2 linked regions of the Pelodiscus sinensis genome follow. The protein of the gene in region 2 purifies or fractionates together with the protein of the main gene of each other region. This does not show direct contact. Links are inferred from orthologs where the notes say so. Each region holds a gene or a part of one and is shown on either strand. Other genes may lie near its edges. The genes, in order: SLX4IP and SLX4.

What was found.
Region 1: the proteins of SLX4 (region 2) and SLX4IP purify together in Homo sapiens (affinity purification with mass spectrometry; 6 studies listed by BioGRID and IntAct, with this or other methods). This does not show direct contact. The link is inferred for Pelodiscus sinensis from reciprocal best matches to the Homo sapiens genes SLX4 and SLX4IP.

The regions. Positions count from the first base shown.
Region 1 is NC_134713.1:189,769,679-189,779,046, reverse strand, and holds the start of SLX4IP (protein SLX4IP), read left to right. Parts: upstream 1-5,202; 5' UTR 5,203-5,489; coding exon 5,490-5,592; intron 5,593-9,368.
Region 2 is NC_134726.1:3,762,218-3,771,906, reverse strand, and holds the start of SLX4 (structure-specific endonuclease subunit SLX4), read right to left. Parts: upstream 3,716-9,689; 5' UTR 3,570-3,715; intron 1-3,569. Other genes in the region: TRAP1 (heat shock protein 75 kDa, mitochondrial), read right to left, coding at 8,232-8,333, 8,848-8,920. UniProt on the Homo sapiens protein: Regulatory subunit that interacts with and increases the activity of different structure-specific endonucleases.

The sequences.
Region 1 (9,368 bases), on a different chromosome or scaffold from region 2:
AAAATGCCCTCTCAAATCTGTCAGTACTCACTCTCAGAGCCTATATTAATGGTCTTGGGTTCATGTTTTGGAGCTACAAAAAAGTTGTGTAGACATTTCCGCTTGGGTTCTGAACCTCGTGAAGGGGTGGGTCTCACAGCCTTAGTGGGAATGCCTACATAGATATTTTTACCTCCATAATGTGATCCTGAATCACCTAATTCAAACTCCAAGACTGGCTGCTACAGGTTCTGGGTTTTCTTTGCAGTGAGGTCTCATCCTAAGCAGCATTCCCTGTAAGGTGAGCGCTTGGGTGGCCACCCAGCAGAGATGCAGATGCCACCCACCTGATTAGTAGAGTGCCCACAGCTGCTCACAGTAGACAGCACATGTTTCTACTGGTGGTGCACATAACCAAATGTATTCTGCCCCTGGAAGGAAAAATTTGAGGGAACATTGACTGAGGATGTTAAATTGAACATAACTGACTAGTCAAGTAGTCAACGGAATTTCTCTGACTACTCAACTAGTCGACAGGCACTTCAGCATTCCTCCTTTGAAATGTACAAGAACCTCCAGTGGGTGGAACACAGCGTGCTGCAGGAAGTCCCGCTGACTCCAGGCTGCACACAGCATGCCAGCTTTGAAATGTACAAGAGTTCCCAGTGGAGGCTCCTGTGATTTCAAAGTGGAAGCGCCCTCATGGACCCTGGGCTCCATGTTGCACTGCCGCTTTGAAATACCACCAGATCCCAGGGTCAGCTGGGAGTTCCCAGCTGATCCTGGGTTCCGCAGAAATGCTGTGCAGACCCCAGCTGACCCTGGACTCCAGGCAGCGCTGCTGCTTTGAAACTCCGTCTTGGTGTTTCAAAGGAGCAGTGCCACATAGCTGAGCCGGGCTCAGCTGTGTAGTGTTGCCCTTTGAAGTACTCCCTCTTCCCCCCGCTTTGCTGCCTCTGATAGAGGCAGCGGGTGGAAGGAGGGAAGGAACTGACTAGTCGACTAGTTTTTAACATCTTTAACACTGATCCTAAGTGACTTTCTCTAAATGTCACTGAACTTCAGTGTCAGTCAAATAAAATCCAGGCCTCCGGTTGCCCAACCTCATGCTTAGTTCACAAAAGAACATATGCTACATTTACCCCTATCCCTCTCAATGCTGTTCCTGATCATTAACATACTTCTGCTGTAAAACCAAAAGCTTCAATACCTATCTGAATGGCATCATTAACCTGAAAATATTTTATTATATCCTTTTACAAGTTTTAGTGAATAACTTCGCTTTCCCCACAAAACAAATCACTCATACTCACAAGAAGTCCTACTGTTGGCAAGAGTTCAGATTTTAAACTCTCTGTCAGGCTCTCATTAGCTTTAGTAATATAAGCTTCTTGTGCTAGATTTACTTTTGGGGGAATTCTGCACCATTGCAGATGCAGAGAATTCATGTGCCACACAGAATTTTTCTTTCCCCAGCAGACAATACATCCTGTCAGAAAGGTGTTGTAGTTACTCCTTTCATCCATCAGGAGCCACTGTTATACCAGAACAGAGCAGCCCCTGCAAAGAGGCTGCAGTCCCATCTGAGGATAGCTGCATTCGTCGTGGTGCCCTGCCTATGGGGCCATGTCAGGAGGCATGGGATATCAAGGGATAGACAGCATACGAAATATGGGAATGCTGAGGGTGTGTGTCACAGAGAAGTGTTCAGAATTTCTAGGGGGACAGACTGGGACAAAAGCTGACTGGCAATATGAGTAGGCTGCAGAGAATATTAGGAGTAAGCTATGAGGAAAGAAAAACAAACAATGAGACCAGTAAAATGACTAAAAAGTGAGGTCTCTATCACAAATAATTTGTAAGAAGACATCAATGGCTAGGGCAGGGCAGGGCTGGGCAAAAGATAATGTGGGCCGTTGATCACTTACAAAATTCTTGGAGAGGCCCCCCATCAAAAATTATTTCCTACTCCTGGGCTAAGGCATATTTTACAAAGGATCATAACTGACTACCAATTATGGCTCTCAGTTGGAGGCCAGAAAATCTAACAAGAAAGAGGGGTAGGCCTAGGATGACTTGCAAGCATACAATCATCAATGACATAAAACTATTTAATTTGAAATAGGACTTAGGTCACATGGCAGCTGATAAGCAAACCTGGAGAATGTGGGTAGCCCAATGTACTGAAAAGTATGGGATAGATTAAGATCTAAGGGACTGCAGTTTAAATTAATTAATCAGAATTCCATATTAATGTCTAGTAAGGAATTTATTCATAATTCTCTCCCCCCTCCCATTTCCTGAATCTTATCTTTACTGTTATATAGTTACTGGCAGGTATTTTGAAATAAACCAGGGAAGTAATTTGAACTGGCATGATTATATTGTTATTTTGACAAATGAAATATGCAGAATTTAAAAATATCATGTGAGTAATGTATTTTTTTGTATAGAATTTCCCCAGTATATATTGTTCAAGATAATGCATTATTATTAGACAGGAATCTGAAAACATAAAAATGATGGGAGCACTGGTGTTTTTTACTTTTTAACTCCCTACTTTTCTGGGGATGGGGGCTTGGGGTAGTGAGTTGAGGTGGAGGGTGGAAAGAAAATAGGAGGAGAGATAAGCAACTACTCTTCTGGAGTTGAAAATTTTTTGAAGGGTTGTTATAAAACAAGTCTTATCTCTAGAACTAGTTAGATCTTTCCCCCACCAAGCTGCAATATTTTCAGATACTTGAAACACCCTAACGACAGGGCTATACTTAAAAAGGTCTGCTGGAATAGCTGCAAACCCTCCTACGATAGATGCAGGAAAGAACAGTTTGGGCCAATGCAGCTCTTACCAATATGGCAAGCAAAATAAGATATACAACCCTAAAGCAATTTTATGCTGGTATAATTGCATCTACCACAGGACTTTGGTAACTATAGACATGTCACAAATACACACATCCCTACTCTTATGGACAAAACTGTATGCTGTAGAGTTGTTCTAAGTCATAGACTGCATTATGACAGGCTCTGAGAATTGGTAGTCTTCCCAATATTATACATGTGTCTGTGCAGTAGAAGGGTATAGTGTTGATAAACATCTCCTCTTAAAACACTTTGAAATATATACCTGACAAGCACCACATGACAGCTAAGCATTACCATTGTCAGGACTAAAGCTAACTGAAAATAATCCAACAATTTCTCAATTTCCCCTTCTCCATAAAGTTTCAAAACATGATACAAATTAATCAGCTGTACTAATATGTGAAATGCTGCTGCAAACTCCCCAAGATAGGAAAGTGAAGAAAGGACTGTTTCTAAATCTTTGAATCTTAGCTTCTTGACTGTGTGCTTTAGGACAGGGGTGTCCAAACTTTTTTCAAAGAGGGCCAGATTTGATGAAGTGAACATGCGTGAGGGCCGACCATTTTGCCTGACATTCTTTGAACCATTACAATTAAATGCAAATTAACTATTTTATGCAAAGTTTATTGCAAACGGCATACTTTTCATTTCGTTACATGGATGACAAATCTAAACAGGTGTTAAATCACTCTGCCTTTCATATCTGAAGGCCAGATGAAAAAAAAAATCCAGGAAGCTGAAATATATGTCAGGAACATTGTAAAGTACATTACATATTATTGGTAATAAAGGTTGTCTGTCAACTTTTAAGTTCAAAAAATATGAACAGGAACATAACACCAAGTATAAATGTTGTGTCCAAATATATTTATAACTGATTTAGACCAACTGACATTAACTGAGATTTTACAATGTATTCATCTCAATACATATGGATTCGTTGGGGACCATAAAAGATAGATATTGCCAAATTACCTGGGGGGCTGTATTAAACCAGAACATGGGCCGCAATTGGCCCGTGGGCCGGACTTTGGACATGCCTGCTTTAGGAGCTGTACACAGAATACCACCACTAGGATACACAGTGAGTGGTGGTGTTCATGTAAGATTTTCTTTGCTTCAGGCCAGGTCTACACACTAGACCTGTAAAGTCAGCTTAAGGTACACAACTCCAGCTACGTAAGCAACATAGCTGGAATCGACATACCTTAAGCCAAATCTGGCACTGTCTCCATACTCCAAATGGTTTGGTCGGCTTCCCTTACTCCTCAAAAGGAGCAGAACGGGCACTGACCCCCATTGTCTGATTTAGCAGATCATTACTAGACCCACCAAATTGAATGCCAAAATATCGATTTCCGGTGTGTCAAGTGGAGACATGGCTTCAGATTGTAACAGGAGTTTGCAAAGGGCACTGGACTAGGACTCTCAACACCTGGGCTGGATATTGGGCTCTGATACACAACTCCTCTGTAACCCACTCTCTAGGGACTGCTGTTCAAGTGTGGAAGAGAAAAAACCGAGCCTGGCAGGCCATTACGCACCAGGCAGTCCTAAAGGCTGCACAGGCGGGGGGCTGCTAGAGATGGGACACTGAGGCTCCCGGGGGGGTCAAACTGTCTCTCCTCAGGTGCTTGTCTGGGTGGCTCTTGCTCCAGCGGAGGTCTGAGGAGGAACTGGAAAGGAATCCCCCGAGCTCAGGCTGGCCGGGACCATGACGCTTTCCTGCAGCACAAGGCAGCCGCCATTCGCCACTCTGCCCCGGGCATCCCTCGCTGACTCATTCCCCTGCCAGGGCGGTGGGGTGGGAGGAGCTGATCCCGGTCCCGTCTATTCCCGGCCCGTAGCGCTCAGAGGTGGGGTGCAACGTGTGTGGGGCACGCAGAGCAGAGACGCTCGTGAGGACACGGTGTGAATGGCGGGTGCAGGGCCTGCTCCCATTGACTCCAGCTTCCCTCCCCCCGGGGCAAGCTGTGTCCACGGGGAAGGGAACCAGCCCCGCTTCGCCCGCACTCTCCGCCCCGCCCCCCCCCTCTCCTGCTCACCTCCGCTCGCAAACCCCCCGCCAACTCGCCCTCGCGGGGTGACCAACCGCCCGCAGCCAACGGCCGCCACTGTCCGCGCCCGCGAGAACGCCAAGAACCCTCCGCGGCACCGGCGCGGGTCCTTTGGTAGGGAGAGGAGGTGGCTAATCAAATGCCTGTTTGACCACTCAGAGTCAGCCTCCCCCCCAGAACAGAGCCTAACGGGGATTTCAAAATGATTCCTGCTACAGAAAACGCCCGGTCAACGGAACTTGGGTTTTTTTTTTTTTGAGGCCAAGTCCCTCAGGCATCTTTATAGACACCTACATAATACAACACTCCCCTCCCCCCATGTGTCGGAGGAGGAAGGTCCCATGCCGTCCGTGCCCCTCTGAGGGGGGGATGGGTTATGGACCCAGCGACGACTCAGCCCTTTTCTAACCGTTGGGGATAACTCGCAATGCGTTTAGCGAAACACCAAAATTGCATTGGCCGCCCGGGTCACGTGACGCAGGAGAAGCCAGGCAGGGAGCTGCCGTTCCAGGCGGAATGCATGCCGGGAGTGATTGGGTCGCCATTTCGGACGGCGGCAAGGAGACGCCCGCTCGGCGGCCATTTTGAATGGGGGCAGAGAGGCGCCACCGAGCCGCCATTTTTAGTAGGGGCAGAGAAGCCGGGGGTGGCGAGCGAGAGCGTGGCACGCGGTGCGGGGAGGGGCTGGAGCGTGAGTAACCCCCCCCCCCCAACACGGGTGGATACGGCCCTGGTCCTACTGCAGGATAACTCGCCCCCCCATAGACCCCCTCGGCATTCCCCCCGCAGACCTACCCCTACTAGCGCTGCCCCCAGGCATTCACCCCCGACCTCCCCGCTGCCTTTGCGCGCCCCCCAAGCCTACCACTGCTGCCCCCAGGCGTTCACCCCCAACTGCTCTGTCCCTTTCCATGCACCCCAAATCTATCCCCTGCTAGTGCTGTACCTTTTGCATTCACCCCCCGGCTTTCCTGCCAATTTGCATTAACCTAACGGCTACTGTTACCCCCTTTGTATTCGCCCCCAACTTCCCTGCCCCTTTGGCATTCACCCCCAAGCTACCATTGGACTGTTGTTTGTCCCCGTTAGATTCACCCCCATTTTCCCTCCCCCTTTGCATTCATTCCCAAACCTACCATTGCTAGTGTTATCTGTCCCCTTTGCATTCAGTCTTCAAACTTCCCTGCCCCTTTGGCATTCACCCCCAAGCTACCATTGGACTGTTGTTTGTCCCCGTTAGATTCACCCCCATTTTCCCTCCCCCTTTGCATTCATTCCCAAACCTACCATTGCTAGTGTTATCTGTCCCCTTTGCATTCAGTCTTCAAACTTCCCTGCCCCCTTTGCATTCACCCCCAAGCTACCATTGGACTGTTGTTTGTCCCCGTTAGATTCACCCCCATTTTCCCTCCCCCTTTGCATTCATTCCCAAACCTACCATTGCTAGTGTTATCTGCCCCCTTTGCATTCACCCCCAAACCACTGCACCACCATTGCTGTTTGAACTGGCATGATGAGATCCATGGATACACATGATGGCTACGTCTACACTGGCATGATTTTCCGGAAATGCTTTTAACGGAAAAGAGTTTCCGTTAAAAGTATTTCCGGAAAAGCGCGTCTAGATTGGCAGGACACTTTTCTGGAAAAGCACTTTTTCCGGAAAAGAATCCGTAGCTAATCTAGACGCGCTTTTCCGCAAAAAAGCCCCGATTGTCATTTTCGCGATCAGGGCTTTTTTGCGGAAAACACGACTGTGCTGTCTACACTGGCCCTTTTCCGGAACAGTTTTCCGGAAAAAGACTTTTGCCCAAACGGGAGCAGCATAGTTTTTCCGGAAAAGCGCTGATGATTTTACATTAGATTGTCAGTGCTTTTCTGGAAATTCAAGCGGCCAGTGTAGACAGCTGGCAAGTTTTTCCGGAAAAGTGGCTGATTTTCTGGATAACTTGTCAGTGTAGACACAGCCAATATGTTGGAGAAGAGCCAACATGGTTTTTGAAAAGGGAAGTGATGCCTCCCTATAACTCTTTGAGGAAGGTCAAAAATGGTGGACTAGGTTTATTCCATGGATATAGTGTGCTCAAACTTTCTGAAAGCCTTGTACAAGGTCCCTCAGGAAAGGCTTTTAAGCAAAGTAAGCACTTCTGGGCTAAGAGGGAAGGACCTCTCATGGATTGGTAGCTGTTTAAATGGCAGGAAACAAAGGATAGGAATAGTCAGTTTTTAGAATGCCAAGAGGTAATAGTGATAGAGATGCAACCGTGTTAGTCTGGTCTAGCTGAAAGAAAAGACAGAACTATGTAGCACTTTAAAGACTAACAAGATGGTTTATTAGGTGATGTGCTTTCGTGGGCCAGACTCCTGAAAGTTCATCACCTAATAAACCATCTTGTTAGTCTTTAAAGTGCTACAAAGTTCTGTCTTTTGTTTCAAGAGATAATAGTGGTATTCCCCAAGGATGTACACTGGGAATAGTACTATTCAATATAGCCATCAATGAGCTGGAGAAAGGAGTAAATGCTGAGGTGACAAGGTTTACTGGTAATACAAAATTACTCAAGTTAGCTAAGTCCAAAGAAGATTGTGAGGTGTTTCAAAGGGATCTCACAAATCTGGATGACTGGACAATGAGGATACAATTTCACACACTCCCAACTGTCCATACAAAATAACGGGGTTTAAATTAGTGATTAGCCTTCCAGAAAGAGACCTTGCAAACATTGTGGATAGTTCTGTGAAAACATCTGCTTAATATGCAGTAGGGAAAAGCTAACAATGTTAGGAACTATTAGGAAAGGGATAGAGAATAAGACAGTAAATATCATAATACCATTTTATAAATCCATGGCCTGCTCATAGCTTGAATATTGTGTTCAGTTCCGGTTGCACCATCTCAAAAAAGATGTATTAGAATTGGAAAGGGTACAGAAAAAGGCAACCAAAAGTATTAAAGATATGGAATAGTTTCATAGAATCATAGAATACTAGAACTGGAAGGAACCTTGAGGAGTCATCAAGTCCAGTTCCCTGCATTTCTGGCAGGACCAAGCACCATCTAGACCAGAGGTGGGCAATAATTTTTGCTGGGGGCCACTTCAAAAATTACTTACTCCTTCACATAACACAAGAACCGGGAGTCAGCCAATCAAATCAATAGGCAGAAAGTTTAAAATAAAATAAAGTACTTTTTTCACACAGTGCATTGTCAACCTGTGCAACTCATTTCCAGCAAATGCTGAAAAGCTCAAAACTATAACTGGGTTCAAAAAAGAATTAGATAAATTCATGAAGGATAGGTCTTTGAATGACTGTAAGCTAGTGGTTCTCAACCTGTGGCTCGTAGACTGTTTGCAACCCAATCAGCACACAGTTGTAGCCTATGTGAAATCCTCAGTGCCACACAGGTAGTATTGGATGTAGCCCACAAAACACAACAAGGGTAAATAGGTTGCCAACTCCTGTTATAAGCCAAGATATTCAGGGTTTTCACCCCATGGTTTGGGTGCCCCAAGTTTCAGATTGTGAGAAATTTGGGCTAAACAGAAGGGGGTGTAATTGCCCTCTGAAGCACTGGGCATTGGCTACTGTTGGAAAACATGATACTGATGAGCAAGAATGGTCTTATGTTCTTATGCCTGTCCCCTTTGCTTTCACCTACTCTATCCTTCCTTCCCTCTTTGCATTCACTATGCCAAACTTCCCTGCTCTCCTTCTGCTGCCCGCCCTCTTTTCAATCATCCCAACTTTCCATACTTCCTTTTCCTTCACTCCAAACTGCCTCATGTCCAATGTTGCTGCCTGCCCCTTTTCCTTTTTTTCCAAATTTCTACATCCCTTTTGCATTCTTCCTCCAAATCTCCCCACCCTTCTTGCATTCACTCTCCCAAACTGCCCCTAGTCTTGCGTTCCCATTTAGGATTCATCCCTGTCAACTTCCCCACTGCTAGTCCCCTTTGCATTCTCCCCAGATCTCCCTGCCCTTTTTGCGTTCACTCCCCCCCCCTCCCCCTCCTGCTTGCTACCATTGCATACATCCCAAACTAGCCTTAGTTGCTGGTGCTGCCCAGGCCTGTTTCATTCACTCCCCAAATCTCACTACTCCTAGTGTTGCTGTTTTCTTTGCAATCTCCTTTGCAGGAGTGAGACCAAGGCTGGGCCACCACAGCAGGAGTGGGGTCATGGCCAGATGGGGAATGGCGCTGGGCTGCCACAGCTGAAACTGTGGGCAAATGGGTCGATTTCAGACCCTCTCTGCAGAAGCAAGGCCAGGTCCAGACTCCTGTGGCAGGAGTGGGGCCTCTGCCAGCTCCTCCTGCGGCAGATCAGGGTCATGGCCGTGCTGCCACAGTTACAGCCCCGCTGGATAGGGACTGATTCCGCACCCCATATTCCAGCAGGAGTGGTGCCAGGAACTGTGACCAGATGGGAACTGCTGCCAGTCCCTCCAAGTACCCTGGCTGGGAG
Region 2 (9,689 bases):
TACCTCACTCAACAGCAGACCTAGAAAGCAGTGGCACATGGTCCCTGAAAGACTTAAGGAGGTCTCAAGAGAAGGATCAAAATAGAGGGAAAGTTGGAAGCACTTCATTCCTCAAAAATGGAATTAAATGTTTCTTTTTCCATAAGTAACTAGTTTTCTAATTATAGAAAGATCCCAGGAAGAGGGAGGGCTCTGTGCTGCTGTGCTGGAACCATAAATATTACTTCCCCTCCCTTGAAGACTTATTACAGAGGACCTGGAAGCTTGGAAGCAGAGTTTTCAATCACGCCAGTCAAAACACAGCATGGGGAAAGAATTGGTATTTGTGCTGGAACCCACAGCAGAAAGAGACCCCCTGGAATATTTCCAGCCCAAGTACTGTAGCCATAAGCTTTCCTACAGCCCTCAGTACTTCCCATTGCTGCTGGAGAGAAACCCACAGATCTACAGCAGACCTTCCTGAGGAGCCTCTCACAGACCTTCCCTCATGCAGTCTCTCTCAGTTCAGTGCTACATAGGCTTGTATGTCATGCTCATCACAGTAATATCCTTTGTAACCATAGTATGGCAGACTCACTGTACTGCTACACTGTTCACAAGGCATGGCTTCTCTGCATCCCTGGGGTTGCAAAAAACATCTTAATGTGCAACGGCAATCAAAAAAGCCAAAAGAATGTTAGGAATAACTAGGAAAGAGATAAATAAGAAAATATAACGTCACTACATCAATCTATAATATGCCCACACCTTGAATACAGAATGCAGTTTTGGTCACCTCATCACAAAAAAGATATCTTAAAATCTGAAAAAAGAGAGAAGAGCAAACCAAACAATCAAACAAACAAAAAAAACCCAAGAGTACTGCTCATTTTAGAAAAGAGATGACTAAAGCAGGATATGATAAAGGCTTATAAAATCACTAATGGTATGGAGAAAGTGAAGTGTTATTTACCCCTCTTCTAACATAAGAACCAGAGAGCCCTTAATTTCACTGAGTTAGTACTTCTTAACACTATCTGTGGAACTCATTGAAAAAGATGATGAAGGATAGGTCCATGAATGCATTAGCTCAGATGGTCAGAGGTGCCACTAAATCTCTGTCTGAGAGAAGTTGGGACTGGATGCTAGGAGATGGATCGCTTTATTATTGCCCTGTTCTGTTCGTAACCTCTGAAGCATGTTGCATAAGCCACTGTTGGAAGTAAGGACATAGGGACAGATGGACCATACATCAGTCAATTCAACTACCTGATAACTAATAATAATACCTAGCTCTTATACAGTGCTTTTCATCAGTAGATCCTGACACACTTTACAAAAGAGGTCAGTATCATTAACCCCATTTTACAGATTGGGAAACTGAGACAGAAAGGGAGGGGGAAGGTGACTGGCCCATGGTCACCCACGAGACCAGTGGCAGAGCTGACAATAAAGTTCAGCATGTGAATGTCCGCAATAACAGGACAAAAGCTTTTGTCTTAAATCACCACATCCCTTGCTTTTCCAGCCAGGATCGGCTCTTTTGGTATCTAATCCCTTCTGATCTTGGAAGTGAAAGGTAGATTTCCACTTTGCTGCCTTGAAGATGCTGCAGAGAGAATGCAACTGCTGCATCCCCAGGTAATATGGTCTGAGTGAACCTGCATCTGCTACAGTTAAGCAATAGTACAAAGCTGAGTGAAACAAGTAACTACGAATCTGACGGCTATAAATATCTGTGACGATAAGAGAGAGCTGCGATAGCTCAAGGAAAATCCATGCAATTTTTAACAAAATCCCACATTTTAATTTTTACCGCAAATTGCTAATGGGGCTTATTATCTATGCCTAGCTTGGTTACACACAGAATCTGCACAAAAGGCCTGATTCCTCTCTCTTACCAGTTTAACTCTAATGAAGTCAACAGCATTTCTGATAGGAGAAGCAGGCCCTACATAGCAAAATTGTTTTGGCTTTTTTTTTTAAACTAATATAAATTTAACTTTTCCTGAACATAATGCTAGGAATAGATGCCATGCTAGATAATGAAATAGTCAATCCACAGAACAATAGTATAGACTAGGGGTTATCAAACTTCACTGCACCCCAATCCCTTTCTGACAACAGAGTTACTCAGGTGGAAGAAAGGGACAGAGCCTGCTCCCCACCGCTCTAGGTGTGGGGGGAGAGAACACAGCCAGAGACTTGCCATTCCAGGGAGGAGGAGAGGGGGACAGAGAGAAGGGACCAGAGCCTAAGCTCCACCACCCTGGAGCCACGCTGCCCTAGGTGTGGGTGGAGCTCAGGTTTCAGCTTCAGCCTAAGGTACAAGCAAGCCTAAGGCTGGCCCTGGAGACTCTATTAAAATTGGGTCAAGACCCATTTTGGAGTCCGGACTCACAGTTTGAGAACTGCTGCTACAGAATATAGGAACTGCCACACTGGACTGGATCTGCGATCGATCTAGTCTGATGTGCTGTTTCTAACATAAGAATGGCCATACTGGGTCAGACCAAAGGTCCATCCAGCCCAGTACTCTGTCTGCCGACAGTGGCCAATGCCAGGTGCCCCAGAGGGAGTGAATCGAACAGGTAATGATCAAGCGATCTCTCTCCTGCCATCCATCTCCACCCTCCTAATGATGGCTAGTATCAGATGCTTCAGAGAAAGATGCATAAACACCTCATTATGAAGCTGTGGGATGATCTGCCACCATGACAGCCTCACCCTAATAGTTAACAAGGTTGGTTTGAGCACAGACACATGAAGTTTGCATCTTTCAAAATTTTGGCATGGTTACCATTATCTATTGGACAGTCTTTGTTAGCCATATAAATGTTCAATCTCTTTTTGAATGTTGCTAATGTTATGGCCTCTTTGGCAAACCTGTGAATTTTGTGTTAATGTGCCAATGTTTTAATTCCATAGATATCCCCTTGTTCCTGAATTGTACGCCTGGGAGAACAGAAACGCCTGACCTACATTTTCTTCACCAGTAATTATTTGATAGACTTTAACCGTGCACTGCCAAGCACGGCTTTTGCAAGCCAACAATTTTAGAGCGGTGTACTAAAAAGTGGCTAATTTAGCAGTGGCTTTGCGCGTGCTTTTAAGGAGATCTGTTCACCAAATCCCACGCTGTCATACGTGCCCCCCACAACTCCTCTTCAAGGTGTTGCCACTGTTTAAAACCCTGGAACACCAGGCTGAATGGCGCAGCGCCGTTTCCACTGGCCTTAGACCCGAGCTACGGATCCCCGGGCTGATGCTGGACAGAGACTTGGTCTAGCACGGTTCGTTACCCGGCCCGGGCCGGGAGGGAAGGGTTGTGGGGTGCGACCGGCTGGGATTCCCACCCGCACTGCTGGGGGCGCCACATTTCCCACCATCGCCCCTCACGCCAAAGCCGCCGAGCGGTGCTACGTGACAGCGATGGCACTATGACATCACAGCGGGCACTGTGACATCACGGCAGTGCTGCCTGACAACGTCTCCATGGGAACCAGAAGTTGCGCCAGCCGCTGACAACGCAACAGAGAATCTTCCCCCCGCTACATCGTCTCGTCCCGGCCTCCCCCGGACCCTCTGACCTCTGCTGGGCGGCAGCTCCGCACCCCTGGGTACTAAGCCGGGCGGCAGCACATTCCGCCCAAAAGGCACGCGCAGAATCTGTGGCGCATGCGTAGAAGAAACGGCGGCCGTTAGCGGGTAGCATTCGTGGGCCGCTTTCCGTCGTCTGGCTTCTTCGCGCATGCGTAAACCCCCATCATCGCTACACAAAGGCCACCTCCCAAACCTCGTTCTGTACGCATGCGCGGCCCCTCCCCTTGCTGCGCGTGCTCCGGAGGCACCTCGGCTCGACCGGCTGCTAACGGCTCAGCCAGGTTGGGCCCGCGCGAGCGTTTTGTCGGTTAAACGGTCACGCGCAGACGGGCGAGTGCGGAACGGCTCTCCAGTCACAGCTCCCGGCTCCTGCGGGGAGTTTAATGAGGCAGCAGGAGCGCTCCAATGGCCCCTCTTAGCTTTGCCATCCACTGGGGAATCCGTGCTTACTGCGCGCCCCCAGCACCACAGCCTTAGAGGGAACTCGCCCTGTTCACGGGTACCAGCGTGCTGACAACAGATCCGTCGTTCCCCTTGGCTAAGCCCCGTGATCTGGCAATAAGGAGTCTCACAGGAATATCCCGGGGACCACAAAGTTTCCGTTGTATAGGGGCCACCCTAGGAGGACCGAGATTTTTTTCGACACCCATGGTACTTGTGCTTACTGAAACAAAGGTGAGCTTCCTTGTGGTTTCCATGGAAGGGAGGAGCCTTTCAGGACTGTGTCCTGAGTGGCTTTGCTGAATGCAGGGATGTTAATTAACTTTTAAAATGTTAACCAGTTAAGTGCTAGGTTTCAGAGTTAACCCTGGAGCAGCCCCACCCAGTGGCAGGACAGGCTGCTCCAGCCCCAGCTGTGCCATGACTTCAGATGTCAAGGGCTGCTCTGGCCCCAGACCTACTGTGGCCTTGAAGGTTACTCCAGCCCCTGCTGTGGGGGCTGCTTTTGCCTGCTTGTGTGCTGGATGGGTCTAAGAGCAACCTGGTGCAGCGGAAACTAGCATATCAGATGGCAGCGTGGTGTGTGTGTGGAGGGGGGTTCCAACCTGTCACAGTTGATAGAGCTGAAAGGTGCCTCAGTTTTCAAACATTAAAGCTGAACCAGAGAACAGGCAGGAATTCTCTTGGGAGAAAAGGCTCCGGAGCTGCTGGGCTAGAAACTCTGGCAATGGCTGTACATCTCAAATGACTTGGTTCCATTTTTTTATTGAAATGTATTTAGGATTTCTGGGATCTAGGCCCTAGCTCAGATTCACTGTGTGCCCTTGAACAATTCATTTACCCTCAGTGCTAGTTTTGCCACTAGTTAAATAGACAGTAATGACTAACTTCACGAAGGAGATGGGAGAATTAGTGTTTGCAAAGCATAAACAGAATTACTAAGTATTATTAATGGCTCCCGAGTTCTCTGCTTTTGGAAACAATAGCCTCCCTTAATGTTTTAAACAGTTGCTGGTGAAGGAGCTTAGAGTGCAGATTCCTGGCCTGTGGTTTGTCTGTAAATCACAACGCTGGACTCTACCCAAGACACTCTCTTGAATGTTTTAGCAGGAAGTCTGGATGAACAAAGCTCTGTTCTCAGTTACGTAGCCCAGGGAACTACTTTGAGCTGGTCCAGTCTCAAAGTCCCAGCCAGACCTTCAAGGGATTCTGTCCAAGTCCCAAAGCACAGGGTCTCAGACACATCCTTCCAAACTGGATTTCACCGTCTATAACTATTTGGCATTGCCTATGTTAAGGATGTATTTGACTCCTTAGTGCTACCTGTGGGTCAGCTGACCAGCCTCAGAAAAAAGGATGGTTAAGAGCCTAATTTATTACCCGTTAATTACATGAACACTTGGGCAAGAAGCTGCCAGTGTAGACATAGCCTAAGAACAGCTGATCTTGCGCAAAAACTTGCCTGCTGTCTACACTGCAGGAGCATTCTTGCACAAGTAAGTTTACAGTATAGCGTTGTAAAACAGGGCTTCTTCCTGAAGAGTTATTCCTCTCCCCATGAGGAATTAGCCCACAAGAGCTGATCCACAAGAGGGCAGTGTAGACAGGCAACATGAATTTCTTGTGAAAGAAGCCCCTATGGTTAAAATGACCATCAGTGTCCACACTGCCATGGATGCTCTTGCGCAAAAGCACATCTCTTGTGCAAAAGCACATGGAATTGTGGACACGCTCTTGTGGAAGATTTTTTGCACAAGAACTCTTCCGCAAAAGAGTTCTTGCGCAAGAAGCTGCCACTGTAGATGTAGCCTTAGGTTTTGCCTGACCCCAGAATTTGAACTGCCTCATTTATACTCTTGGGCCCGCTCAACACTAGGGCAGAAGGATGACCTAAGATACACAACTCTAGCTATGTTAGTTACATAGCTGGAGTCGATGCATCTTAAATTGCCATCCACACAGCAGGAGGTTGATGCCAGCAAACGCTCCCGGCTACTTCCATTATACTCCTCACTAGGAGCAGGTGTGACGTAGTGGGGGGCTGTTTACTCTAGTGGTTGTAGGTCCACTCTGGTTGGGCATTCACTGGTTGCAGTGGGGGCTGCAGGTGACCCCTACTGGCCTGCATCTGTAAGCACTGCCCAGTGGGGGGGGGGGGGGGTCGCCTGGAGGCTCTCCTCATGTAGTTCATGGTCCAACCAGTTCTCACCTGATGAGGAAAGGGATCTGAACAACAGAAGGGTGTGGCTTGGAGAAGGGCAGTCTTTGCTGGAAAAACATGAAGAGACTAAGCTGAATACTGGGGGTTGAGGGGCTAGTGGACCCCTATCCCAAGGGGTCCAAGGCTGCCTGGCCCTGACTCCTGTAACCATATGACGTCAATTCTGTACTGTATCCTGGAGAACCAATAAACCCTCTCTATTCTACTGGCTGGCGGAGTCTCATCTTGCTGCGGACAGAGGTGCAGGATCAGGGGATACCCGCCACACCACCTTATTGGTGCTGAGGGAAACACCCTCTGAGTTCAATTTAGTGCATCTTCACGACACTAGCTAAATTGAACCCCAGAAGATCAACCGCAGCAGTATCAATCTTCCATGTACTGTAGACATGACCTTAGTATTATATACAGTATAATGCAGACCATAAGTAAGTCCAATTTACTGGGTGGTATTTATTTAAATGACTAAACAGCAACAAGATGCTACATATACCTTAAGCAGAGCTGGCTCATGATCCACCATATAGACACTGAACAGACTTCACACATTGACGATGCTAGTCTGAGTTAATCCTAGAGATGGAAAGGTGAAAGGCTCTACTTTCTGATCTTCCCAAAGGCTGAGGTAAGTTTATGGTATTTAAAAAATGACAACATTACTCTTCAATTTTGTCTGGTCAGCATCACAAAATGCTGGTTTAGTGACAAGTTTTTACTGCTTATTTGTGTTCACCTGCTGAGCTCAAGTATCTCTGGGAGAGAGCTGATTCTATGCTGGCTCACATGGCACCAGAATCATTAACCAAGTTCTACTTATAGAATCTTATTTCTGATTCATCCTGAACTCTCCAGTAAGAGCCCACACTGAGTTTGCAATGCTACTGGTTATTAAAAAAAATCTTGTACACTGAGCTCAACTGCCCGGTGAAACAGAAAAACAGAGGACCATGGTAGCTTGTCTCTCTCAGGCCCTTTCTGCTGGGTAGTTAGCACATGTTAAAAACCTGGAGTTTAGCTCTTAGTACCTTAAGGACAAGAATTAGGGTTCATAGCTCAGGGACTCGCCTCCTACTTCCCTTCCAATTCCTTCTATATGGCCTTCCCCATCCCCCACACCACTGGCAGAAGGAGCTCTTCCCCACCATTCTAGGACGCTGCTGCCTCTCAGCATTGGGGAGTGTGTGAAAGGATATGAACTGTCATGCTATCAGAGCTGGGGCACAACAGAGAAAAATAAGGCAAATTCCCCTGGTGAAGGTATCATTAAATGAAGAATTTATTTAACATAAATAAGCAGAACAGCGATTACCTAGGGCATGCCAATTATACCACAAGGGAGGCAGAAACCCTGGAAAAACTGTTCAAAATGCCAAGTGAGCTTGTCAAATATATCCCCAGATACAGAGATGAGTTCAGTTATCCAGTGGCTCAGCTACCTTATCTGCCACACCACTCCGACCTATGTTTGTTAATGGCAACCATCTATCCCGGTGCCTGCTAACCACTGGGTGGAAGTTTTGTGACAAACTCATTTTGCTCGGCCGAAGCTGGTGTTCTGAGCCCACAGTGTACAAGGGCAAATTCCTGAATGGGTATCTGGGGCTGTTTCATGGAGCTAGTGTGGACTCCTGATGTCAATTTTGCTATTGGGAAAGACTGTTTCTGGAATCAATATGAAATTAGAACTTTGGAGCCAACCTCAGAAATCCTGGCAAATCATTTTAGCGATAATCTCCTGGTTTTGATCTCAGCTGGATGATGCCATTCCGGAAGGGTAATACACAGCCCAGTACTTACAACTGGAACCTCTCTCTAAAGTGAAACTTGGGAGCACATTCATGTGCCACGCAGACCTGCAGAGATTCTAGTCTCACTGTACGGAGTCTGGGACCAGACGGCTGTTCCATCAGCTGACAGTGGAAGTTGTGCTTGAAGGAACTGCGGCTGATACCTGGCACAGAGCTTGCCCCTTCGATCAGTTTGGGGATCAGTGTTTTTCCAGGGCTTTGGTAAGGAGCTCATTTAGACGGCTCACCATAGGTCTGGGGTCATCATTCAGTCCTGCTGCTATCATGGCATTCTCATAAATCTGAGCGAGACAAAGGCACAGAGAAGAGATGTTGTTAGCAACAGGAGCCACCTTGGTGGCTCTCCAGCACTCCATGCCCCGAGTGTATGAATGTGAGGTGCCATTTGGAGCCCTGTTCAGTTTCAGACACAATTACCATCCCTCCACACTTCAAGAGAGCCATCTTAAATGTCAGGTACTGCCTATGAATTCTTTCTGCTTGGTTCCTTTCCTTTCCTTTCCTTTCCTTCCCTCCCCCCCCCCCCCACTAGTGCTGCCCACTCTGGTGTAAACAGCATCGTTCTCAGCTCTGCACCAGACACGAATTGTAGTAGGCCAGAATGAGCAACACAGACCCATCCCTGGATGACACCAAAACATTCTAGGGAAATGGTCACTGCGTACTAAAAATACCGAGAGTGGGGATCACTGGGTACATGATTCCAGTTGGCCACAAGACAGCCTTGGTCCACTCCCTTACTGCCCACAGATGTGGTAGCCTGCTCAGGGAGCATGGTGCAAACATGGCCCTCACCTGATCAAGCAGCAGCTGGGCCAAGTCAGGCTGGCTGACCCTCAGTTGATCGAGTTTTTTGATCAGTGCATGCCTGCAATGGAATGAGAAATCAGCACAGGGTTGCAGTACCCCTGGAATGTGTGAAAAAGCCCGATAAGAACGGCCATACTGGGTCAGACCAAAGATCCATGTAGCTCAGTATCCTGTCTTCCAATAGTGGCCAATGTCAGGAGCCCCAGAAGGAACAAACAACAAGTAGTCATCAAGTGATCCGTCCCATCACCTATTCCCACTTTCTGAAAGAGGCTGGGGACACCTTCCCTGTCAACAGCCATTGATTGACCTACCCTCCATGACTTGATTTAGTTCTTTCTTGAACCCTGGTCTAAGTCTTGCCTTTCACAATATCCTCTGGCAAGGAGTTCCACAGGTTGACTGAGCTGTCTGAAGAAATACTCTCTTTTGTTTGTGTTAAACAAGCTGCCTTTTAATTTCATTTGTTGCCCCCCAGTCCGTGTGTTGAGAAGTAAACAAAACGTCCTAATTTACTTTCTCCACAGCAGTCATGATTTTATAGACCTCTATCAAATCTTTCCTTAGTCTCTTTTCCAAGATTAAAAGTCCCAATCTCTCCATACAGAAGCTGTTTCATACCCCTAGTCTTTTTTATTGCCCGTTTCTGAACCTTTTCTAATTCCAAAATACCTTTTTTGAGATGGGGCAATCACATCTGCACATGGTATTTAAGATGTGGATGTATCATGAATTTATTTAGAGGCAATGAGATATTCTCTATCTCTTTCTTAATGATTCTCAGCATTGTTTGCTTTTTTGACTGCTGCTGCACATTGAGTGGATGT